Linked DNA regions of Danio rerio. The main gene of each other region encodes a partner of the protein of the gene in region 3 in a complex. Links are inferred from orthologs where the notes say so. Each region holds a gene or a part of one and is shown on either strand. Other genes may lie near its edges.

The links.
Region 1: taf1b (region 3) and polr2l share a complex: the UniProt entries of both Homo sapiens proteins name them as parts of the pol I pre-initiation complex. The link is inferred for Danio rerio from reciprocal best matches to the Homo sapiens genes TAF1B and POLR2L.
Region 2: taf1b (region 3) and polr1h share a complex: the UniProt entries of both Homo sapiens proteins name them as parts of the pol I pre-initiation complex. The link is inferred for Danio rerio from reciprocal best matches to the Homo sapiens genes TAF1B and POLR1H.

Annotation. Positions count from the first base shown.
Region 1 is NC_133182.1:13,341,582-13,345,339, reverse strand, and holds the start of polr2l (DNA-directed RNA polymerases I, II, and III subunit RPABC5), read left to right. Parts: upstream 1-980; 5' UTR 981-1,054; intron 1,055-1,348; 5' UTR 1,349-1,365; coding exon 1,366-1,460; intron 1,461-3,758. UniProt on the Homo sapiens protein: DNA-dependent RNA polymerase catalyzes the transcription of DNA into RNA using the four ribonucleoside triphosphates as substrates.
Region 2 is NC_133194.1:29,753,735-29,757,492, forward strand, and holds the start of polr1h (DNA-directed RNA polymerase I subunit RPA12), read right to left. Parts: upstream 2,871-3,758; 5' UTR 2,830-2,870; exon of another isoform or gene 2,705-2,829; intron 2,352-2,704; 5' UTR 2,350-2,351; coding exon 2,232-2,349; intron 1-2,231. UniProt on the Homo sapiens protein: Core component of RNA polymerase I (Pol I), a DNA-dependent RNA polymerase which synthesizes ribosomal RNA precursors using the four ribonucleoside triphosphates as substrates. Can mediate Pol I proofreading of the nascent RNA transcript.
Region 3 is NC_133195.1:32,278,969-32,282,626, forward strand, and holds part of taf1b (TATA box-binding protein-associated factor RNA polymerase I subunit B), read right to left. Parts: intron 661-3,658; coding exon 561-660; intron 482-560; coding exon 334-481; intron 194-333; coding exon 16-193; intron 1-15. UniProt on the Homo sapiens protein: Component of RNA polymerase I core factor complex that acts as a GTF2B/TFIIB-like factor and plays a key role in multiple steps during transcription initiation such as pre-initiation complex (PIC) assembly and postpolymerase recruitment events in polymerase I (Pol I) transcription.

The DNA.
Region 1 (3,758 bases), on a different chromosome or scaffold from region 3:
AGCCAAAAAAAAACAATAATAAAAATACAATGTATATGCCAAGTTCAGCAGCTAATCAGTCGGAATCAGCTGAGGTGAAGTGACGTGACCAGCAAAAGACACTCAAGTGGCCACTCCCTTAATTATGCAGACTTAATTAAACCTAATAAATGCTAAACGGATGAGTAATAAAAAAATTCAGCCCCTCACAGTTGTCATGAAGAGTAGTATTAGCTATAAGCACCAAAACCATCTATTGTACCAGGCTTTAAACATGTTTTTATCAGCTGTAAAATTGGCCAGTTTAGCATTGCAGTCAGAGAACATGTGGAGTTGCTGGAGCAAGCCCCCAGAGGAGAGTCTATGTATTTTGTATTGGCTTCCCAATGGAGAGCCGGAGGTTGCTGCTTGGTTTTTACAGCGTACATAAGACGCCCTTATTCTGAAGTGTTGTAAAAGCTAAAATATAAGATGGTTTTGGGATATACATAATAATCATATTGCTATTAGCATTATATGTGCATAATATGTGTTATACATGTAGAGCTTTGCATGGTCAAGCACCCCAATATATTCAAGATCTATGGAACTCTCTCCCTATAGCACTGAGAACTCTGGGATCAGTTGATCTTTTTAAAAAGCATTTAAAGACGCATTGTTTTGGTCAAGCATTTAATTCATAGTATTAGTGTTTCTGTATTTGGATTTTTTACTTGTTTTAATGTGTTTTAACATGTTTTCTTTTATTGATATGTGTTCTTTTACTTGTTTTCTCTAATTGTAAAGCTATTTGTTACTCAACGTCTAGGAAAGGTGCTACATAAATAAATATTTTCTTGCTTACTTACTTTTACTTTTTAAAGATTATACCTCACACATTTTGAAGGAGTTTTCTCAACACCAGCCCGCCACTAAAACAAAAGAAGAAGAAAGTTTTCGTATGTTGCTCATTTCGCTTCACGGAACGTTTCCTATAACCTTGTTTTCACCCGAGCGTGTTAGAAAGACGCAACACGGAAGTCTATCTGTTATAAGCCGCGCAAGAGGAACGTGTGTAGCGTGCGAGATTGTTTTGGTAATGTTTTCTAATTTGCTCGCTTCTTTAGTCAAAATGAGAGGGTGTAATATTTGGGGTTTAGTTTTGAGTTCGCATATAAGGAAATAATCTCGAGCTGAACCGCACTGTCACGTATTCAGTGTTACTGTATGTTGCTGTAGACTGCTTCAGTGTTACATTCTTGTGTACATTTATAGCTCAACATCTATTAAGTTACTGAGTTTTGTGTTACTTGTATTCGTTATTACGCAGTCTGAATTGCACAAACTTGTGTGTTATTAAATAAACCTCTACATTTTTTTTTCAATTCAGGCAACTCGTCCTTCATCATGATCATCCCTGTTCGCTGCTTCACTTGTGGGAAAATTGTTGGGAACAAATGGGAGGCGTATTTGGGTCTCCTTCAAGCGGAGTATACAGAAGGGTACGTTTATGAAACTAAAATGTGTCCTAAATTCGTTTGTTTATTTATTTATTTATTTGTTTGTTTGGCTAAGGAGTAAAGCACTCCTTACTAGTCCTCTTTACTAACTTTAGTCAAAATATTGTGTTTGGGGTGCTCATGCGGACCGGTTGACTGGCAGCACGAATTTTGCCAGATTAATATGATTAATGTTATTATACAGATTACTATTATTATTAACAAAATAAAGCCAGCATTGGCCTTACATACAAGCATCAAACCAAACTGAATTTAAACAGATTTATTAAAAACCTGAAAAACGACTCTAAGTTAAAGATTAATTGTGATTAGCCACATCCAAAATAAAAGTTTGTTTTGACATAAGCAATACTTGTGCATTATATATATTTATATAATTATTGTGTATGTGAAATACACTCATGCATAAAGGTATAGATTTTGCATAGATATTTAAAATTTATTATTTGCATCATATATATTTTATATGTAAATATAAATAATTATTTCCTTAAATGTATGCATCTTTATGTTTATATGTCCATAATAAGCATACACAATACACACACGTATTATGTAAAAAAAAAAAAAACATTTTTTTATGCGATTAATCACGATTAATTTTCCCCCAGCACTATGTGAAATACATCTTATAATTGAAAAACACCTGCAGCTAAAACAAACATTTTTAAGGAAATCTTTTATACATCAGCTATGACTATATTGAACAAATGACCATGAAGTAGTTTATATGTTGTTCTGTGACACTGTGAATCTGTTTGTGGTTTTAGAAACAGGGTTGTGTGTTGGTAATCCATGGTGTAGGAAGCCATATGATGTTTAGTAACATTTTGTGAGGCCAAATATGAATTTCCACATGTGTGGACAATAAAGACTGCTCATCTTTCTAATTAGAATTCTAATCTTTGGTCATACAGGCACATAGAAAAGCACCTTGTTATTTAAGTAATTCCCACAGCACTAAATTTCATTTAAAAAAAAAGTGCTGCTAGTTAATTATTATGGCTCAGATCATTATTTTGTCTGATTTTTTTCTTTTGTGGCAAGTTGCCATGTTATAAGTAAGATAATGTACTTACAATTGGCTATGCAAAAAAGCCATTCAGTCTTATAGGGCCATGAAACCTCCTTGTTTCAGAGGGTGTTTTCACACCTCTACTTTGGAAAAAGTCAGGAAAGTGGGCGTGTCCAGCTCTGTTTAGGAGGGAGTGTCGGAGGAGCAAATTAAAGAGGGTTCTGTAAAAATTTGCATAAAAATGGGAGTGTCATTTTGGGCACGTGCTGATTTTCAGAGTCAAAACACACACACACACACACACACAGGGGAGAAAGACTGACTGTGTTTACGTGGACATCAGTAATCAAATTATTTGACAAATTATTAAATGGTGGACATTAACTGCAGTTTGGCTCTTTTATTCAGGGAATATCTTCATGCCCCTCGTGACAAACGAGGTATTTGATTTGAGGAACTGCTCTAAGCTTGTATCTTTCATGCAATGTTTGATACGGCACAGCAAATGAGGGAAAAAAAACCTCTGAATTTCTCAATAACTTAGATGCACTCGGCAGGTAGGGTCAGAAAGTCGTGTGTGTTACTCCTGTCACAAAATGCAGTGAAAATCCTACACGATGGTAAGTTTGATTGTGGTGCTAACATGTTCACACTCCGTGTAACAGTTAGTTCGATACAAACTAACTTTGCCATCTGAAAAAGCAAAGGGCACTGTTCGCTCCCTTATCAAATCTGTAGAGACAGGACAAACAACACCAACTAGAGCCGCGTCTTTATTAAGAGGAGACGAGCGGCAAATCCGGATCTCACCATTTCCAGATGAGAAAAGTTCTCGGGTAAAAAAAAAAAAAAGTTCCTTAGACATGCATTGTTGTCGCATGCACTGTAATCCACACGTGGTCCAGCTGTGCGCTCATACAGAGAAAATGAAAACAAAACCTTCACTGCAGCAAATTATAAAAGCAACCCTTCACGCTTGTTTTGCCAACATAATGTGGCGTCTCTGCTGTCTGAACACTGTAACATTAATGAATGTTAGTGAAGTTGCACAATAGAGTGCGCTGATTGGTTTGAACCGAATCTTACTCGTGCATTAATGCAGCACACTTATAGACGTAATAAGACACTCCCAGGTACAGACGTCCAGTCTACACGCTGGAATACACGCTAAGATCTCATGGCCGTGACGCAGCTTAAAAAAATTGTTACAAACCGGAAGTACGAATTAGCTAGAAATAACGCAAAAACAACCAATTTTCACTTTT
Region 2 (3,758 bases), on a different chromosome or scaffold from region 3:
TGAAAAAAAGAGAGCATTTTTTTTCTCCAGCTGAACTTGATGCTTATGCAGTTATAGCAAATACGATCTTATATTAAAAAAAAGCAACACAACTGCATTAGTGAAACAGAGACAGTTAGCGTGAAAAAAAGATAGCTGCACAAGTTAATGTGTATGCTTAAATCTAAAACATTTAAAGTATTTAAATATTTAAGTGTAATAAAAGAACAAGTAATGCGTGATGTTTATACACTTTTACCTTGAAAAAGTGGGGAATTGGCCATAATTTTGAAGTCATTGAAGTCGTTCAATTTCTTTTCATTCATTAATTTATTTTCTTGTCAGCTTAGTCCCTTTATTAATCCGGGGTCGCCACAGCGGAATGAACCATCAACTTATCCAGCAAGTTTTTACGCAGCGGATGCCCTTCCAGCCACAACCGATCTCTGGGAAACATCCACACACACATTCACACACACACTCATAAACTACAGACAATTTAGCCTACCCAATTCACCTGTACAACATGTCTTTGGACTGTGGGGGAAACCGGAGCACCCGGAGGAAACCCACGCGAAGGCAGGGAGAACATGCAAACTCCACACAGAAACACCAACTGAGCCGAGGTTCGAACCAGCGACCTTCTTGCTGTGAGGCGACAGCACTGCCTCGCCCAATTTCTATTCAGCTTGGTTTTTTTTAAACTGCGGTCACCACAGATGAATGAACCACCAACTTATCCAGCAGTTTTTTACGCAGCAGATGCCCTTCCAGCCTGAACCATCACTGGAAAACATCCACACACACTCGTTCACACACATACACTACAGACAATTTAGCATACGCAATTCACCTATAGCGCATGTGATGTCTTTGGACTGCGGGGGAAACCGAAGAACCTGGAGGAAACCCACACAACACAGGAAGAACATGAAAACTCCACACAGTAATGCCAACTGACCCCGCCTAGGCTCAAACCAGTGACCTTCTTGCTGTGAGGCGAACGTGCTACCCACTGCGCCACCGCGTCACCAATTTTGAAGTCATTTCAAATGTAATTGCATTAAATTACATAAAATAGGCTGCTGCATAGTTTCTACAACAAATCTGACAAAAAATGCATATAACCTTAGCTTAATGTTCAGTGGAAATGTTTAATTTAAGGTTCCCACTTTTACACACGTTGATCAGTTTAAGATTTGAAAGTGCACTTGTGTGTCTGCCTTTATTATTGATCAAGTGGTAGAGGTTGATATAACATTTAGAATGTAAGTAACATTTAGACTTTAGCAGTACTAAAAATAGTTTTTAAAACTAGTAATAATCGTTCTAAATAATTATTTTATTTTAAAATAATAATTATTATTATAATAATTTAAAATAATAATTATATTATTCTAATAATTATTTATTTTTTGCAGTAATATCAAAGCTAAAACTTAAAACTATGGTATTGAATCTAATTGTAATGTTCCCAAAAAGTACAAGCCATTCTCATAACCATGTTCTTTGTGTGACTGAAATGTAGGCAATGAATGACCAAGGCCAAGGTGAGAAATACACTCTGTCTTTAAAAAAGGGGAGGAGACCAACAGAAACTCAGAGTTTAGAGAATAAAACCGGCTCCTGACCAGGTTAGGTTCATAGAGTAAGTTACCACGGTAACTGACTCTGAGTTAAAGGGTAAAGTCTAGATCGGATACACGGCTGGCCGAAAGTGCGATCTGCACATCAATATAGCAGCATTTTGTTATGACACTGTATAACAATAATGAATATTTGTACAATACTGTGACGGTGGGGTTTAGGGTTGGGCTGGGGGAAGGCGTTAAAAAATACAATTTATTGTATAATTTAATAGGTAACGTAAATTATACCCAGTACAACTACTGTTTCTACATTACTTTGTTGGTTGAGTTTAGGGTTGGGGTGAGGGTAGATGTTAATAAAATACAATAAACGGGGGATTTAATAAATAATATAAATAATTCTCTTCACCTTCCAGCCGTAAACATATTCGATCTAGCAACAACCAAGTCAAAGTTACCTCTCTTTCAGAAACAGGCTTGACTTACCCTGCTTTCTCGAGTTTGACAAACCTGCCATTTTAAAACGGAAAACCCAAAATTTCTCTCATTTCAGGGTTAAACATACTCTGAGCTATTACTTAACTTCCTTTCTGAAACAGGGCCAATATATAATCTCATAAAATATTATATAAATTACTTATGACATATTAATCTTACTCTCACCTTGAACAGAGATTTTGAAGGAGCATCGTGGGCAGGTGATAGTATTCAGCCTGCTGGGTAGTGGAAGAATGTTTCCACATTCAGGACAAAAGTCGACATCTCCTCTAAAACACGACATTTCTTAAAGGAGAGAAAAAAATGTTAGTAACTAGACTTTAGTCACCAATAACAAAAATTAACCATAGTACAATAACACAAATAATATAAAAACATGGTAATTTTAGTAAATCACGTAAGAACTACAAACTCACCATGTTTTGCTACACTACCCATAGTTTATTGGTTTTTGACCAAAACTAGTGATTTAAATCGTTTTTTTTATTAAAAAATAAATTGGAGACTACTATAGTATTGCAGTATTATATATTGTATTGTAAAGTTTCCTGTAATAAATTAATAATCTATAAAAACTACACACGCACACATACGTACATACATTTTTTATATAACGTTAATCAAAACTAGAAACTTACTTATAAAAGCGCCAACACGGCGGTCTTAAATATTACCAGATGCAAAAATCTTGCGATATGTACGCTAGTTATAGTAACAAATACAAACCAAATACAAACTTCTCTACAAACTGAGAGGTTTTTACTCAAGGCAGTTCCACATGTTGGGGTCCTTCGTCAAAACAGTAGATTCGTCGCGAGTTGATGACGTTGTAGACAATCTATCTGGCAGGTGCAGTCAAATCCAACTGCTTCAAACAGTGTTTCGAGGTATTTGCGATTATTTAATACTATTAAAAACCACAATCGACATGAGAAGTGATAATACACTTTATATTCCGTCATAAAACATTCAGCAATGTAATGTCGTAGTGTTTTGACCACACGCTGCCTATTTTGGGCTAATGGATTAGCTAACTAAGTGCTAATGTGTTACGTCTTAAATCGTTTGTTAGTTTAAAGCGACATAACTGATTAATTACGGGTGTGTGGGCTAGCATAAAACATTATCTATGAATTAAGTTTTTTTTTGCTATTGTAGTGCTGGAGAATGGGGTTTTATTCTTTAATATATTGTCTTGATTAATAGTTGTTGAAAAGCTACAAGTCTCTAGCTTTTGTGTATATATTACACAAACAAATATAATCGAATACAATTTAAGCAAACACGCTTTTCTAAATCACGTGTATGTCAAAATATTGTGTTCCGTAATCAATTAATTTTGTTTGTTTATTTATTTGTTTAAAAAAAAAAAACTTCTGGCAAAAGGAGAAATTTGTTCTGACTGTGGTTTCACTGAATGATATTGTAGTGTGTGTCTTTTTATCATGGTAAAACAAATTTAATGATATTTCATATTTTTTTTCTCAGAAAAAAATAACAATTAAATAGGACTAATGTAGAGCTGGGCCGATAAACGATATTGTATCGAATTGCGATACAATTTATGTCACAACAATGATAAGCTCTGGACCTTTTTACTCTGTATTGTGTATCTATATACTCTAAATCTATATTACACAGCAGAAATGTGCAAACAATGGGAATATAAACGTGCGTTGATATTAAGCATGG
Region 3 (3,658 bases):
AAAGAAGTGACAAACCATTCCACATGATCATCCAACTTGAAAAGGAGCTTCATGGCCACAATAATGACAGCTACAGCTTGAACATCATAACTCAAGAGATGAGGCTTCTTATCAGTGGGGTCAAACGTCAGAAAGGAATCGCTATCCATACCAGCTCCAGTTATAACCTTCTGGACCCAAACATGAAGAGCATCTAAAATGAACATGCAGAGTCAGGAGTGTATCAAACACACACAAAAAAAAGAGGATTATATGGGTTGGATAGATTTGTTTGAAATCCATTTTCATAATTTACCACAACGTCTCCACTACAGTGAAAAAAAAAACACTCACCTGGAAGGTTTGCCTCTAGCAGATAGCGGACAGTGAGTGGAACTGGGTGGAAAAGACAATCCTGAGAAATTGTTGGGAAGGACGGCAACTTCATGATCTTTGCCAGAACTAAAGCTTCTTTTTTGATGAACGCATAAGATGGAAAGAACTAAAGAAGAGAAGTTGGTATAGAATGAAACACATTGATTCATGAGTGGTGAAGTGAGAACTGTTTATATGTTCCTCACCAGAACCCGAAAGATTTGGACATCTTTCCCGAACATTCTCATCTCTGCTGGAAATGTTTCGTGAAGGTGCAAGTAAGGAATATGGCCTTCTGCGACCATCCTGCAAGAAACAGATGATTGCAAAATCAGATGTCTTTCTTGTTATTTATTATTTATTAAACATTAGGTCATTACTGATAATACATCTAACATGAACTGTAATGAAACGTGAAATGTGTCATTATTGTTTATGATTTACATTTTTTGTTATTTGGTTTTATTTTGTACATGGTTTGATTTTTGTTGAATGAATTAAGTTATGGTTGGGGACTAATTATGACACAGAGATTACGGAGCCTACCGAATATATGGCATGTATAGTAATGCACATGAAGCAAAGCACGCCAGGCATGGAACTCTAGGTGAAACACGGCAAAAAGGCACGGGTAAACGGCTAATTCACGGATTCCCCATTTATGAGTTTTAGCTCTTTCTTAAGGGAAAATAAGGTAATTTGATTTATTTAATTTGTTTAAGATTAATGTTTGATTTTTGATGTTGGCTTAGTATTTTAATTTTCGTGTTTCATTTGTGTTTGATAGTTTGTTTTTTTGTTTTCTCTATAGTTCTTACAGTGATGCATTCATGATGCAATGTTGTGTAATGGTTCTATGGAATTGGGCCAATAAATGAATCGTGAACCCAGGGGCGTAGATTTAGGGTGGACGGTGGACGTGTCTTCACCAATATCCACAAACTACTGAAATGTCCCCACCAATAATTTAATTCACTTAAAAACATCGCGCTGTCAGTATAAACCTAGACATGCCGAAAGGGTTAAATCACGTTCTCTCCTCAAGTCGCACCGCCCCCAAACACATATGAACATTGTGATTGGCTGTGCCTTTCCCTGCTGTCATGTGAGTGGCTGCTTTCAGATCATGGTTTCAGATACAAACTGCGCCAAAACAACTGCGCGGGGGGGAATTTCCCGATGTGTGAGGTGTGTGCCTCGCACAAGAGAGGATGGAGGTAGCAAGAAAAGGTGGATATAAAGAGCTTTTTCCAACGAAAAGTGTAAGTCACATAAACTCAAGTTCGCTTCTGAATGAGTCCATCATGATAATGCCGTTATGGTAGTGTTTTCACCGCTTTTACGTTCAATCTAACGTTAAAACAGACTAACGTTAGTCTGTAAACAATATTCCCTGAAAACTAACTGCAGAATAAACACCTACATGTAAACGTATGACCCTGCCAGTTCTCCTAATCTCTTAGAGTAACATCTCCAATTTTGGTTGAAACAATTTGTCAGAAAAACTACAGCCTGTGCTCCATCTTTTAATAATACTATGAGACATGTTTAATTTGTACGAAAAATGAACGAAAGTCTTTATTAAACTCTCACTTTATCAGTTAATAAACATTATTTTAACATAACACTTTCAGGCCTGTAGCCAGTTTATTGAAAAGGGTTATTTGTTTTCTGAAAAACTGAACCTTTTTGCAGTTATTCACCTGATTTTCTGTTTAATTGAGGTATAAATATGACATTTTAGTGACATATTAAAAACTAATTTTTGCTGGATAATCTTGTTGGATAGTTATTACAACTACACTTTTTGATGTACCAAAAACTATTTCCTACCATTTTGTCAAATTGCTTTATTCACACATTTAAACTGTACGTTTTATTACAGTTTTATAAATAATAAAAATACTTTGAACTAGAAATTAGGACTTTACATTCTTAGAATAAAGTAATGAAGTACAGTACAGATGCCAAAACCTCTAAATGCCATGTAAAATGAGCATTTTTCTCAGCCTTGTATATTTATGTTGAGTTATTTTACTTTAAAGGCAATGAAAAGAACGTATTTGTCACTATAAAAGTAAAATCCACACACAGGAGTTGGAGAAAAATTATAATTTTAGAAGTAAATATTAAATGGCATTTAGAGGTTTTTGCATCTAAACTCTTCAAATATGCAAATATACTTATATTTAAAATACAATTTTTTATCATAATTTTCTTTGGGAAATCTGTTAAAATTTGATTTAAATTAAAAACTGAAGCCTATGGGCAAATAACAAACTGGCCGGCGCATTCAACCTTCCTGAGTGAAAATCTGTCCATTTGAATAATAAGAAAAATTCAAACATAATAATAATAATACAACTTTTGGTCTTTCAAACTACCTGACCCCCCTTGGCTATACGCATGACTATTTCATTTAACTTAATAAATTGTAAGAAGAGAGGATTACTTAATAATACATTTTAATAGCAGTTAAATAATAAATAGCAATATATATATATATATATATATATATATATATTTAAAAAAAAAAAAAAATGTATATATTCATTCTTGGGGGGGTGACTCGTCCCCAGTCCCCACCAATGTCAAGCGCAAACCTACGCCCTTGCGTGAACCATCAGTGAAAGACTTAATCATCTTTTAACCAGGATGCTACATGAAAACAAAAAACTGTGGTTGCAAATAAATAAATAAAACGTCACTGGGTCTGTTATGTTTTAGAAGTGTCAATGTCATTTTGCATTGCTCCAAAGTCCAAAGGTAGCTATTAAGTTCAATACTGAAGTATGCACTGTGCTTCTGTGTTGGTAAGTTTTGGTGCGTTAATCTTATAAACACAATAAGTCAAAGGGTCATGAACGACATTCATTAAGTAATTGTGTTATATTTTTTACTTCACATTCTTCTGGAAATTTATTTTGAATGGTTATATTTACTGAAGAATGTGAAATAAAAATATAACACAATTACTCAATGAATGAGGATCATGACCTTTTAAGGTCCATATACAGGGCTTAAATTGTGCCGTAACACGGCACCTTTGAAATCTGATCAGGCACCTCATTTTACCGACAACCCTCTACACTTTCATCCACAACATACTCCACTCTTCACTTTCATCCTTCGTCTGCAACCCGACCACCATTTATTATAATGCCTGTAGGTACTGCCATTCTTTGTTCAGGATTTGTTTACGTACGTGAATTTGTAAAGTATCACAAGTGTGAAGTATCACAAGCAATGAACTAAAATTCCACTGATTTCCTGACATAAACTTTGCATTTCAGGATAATAGTAG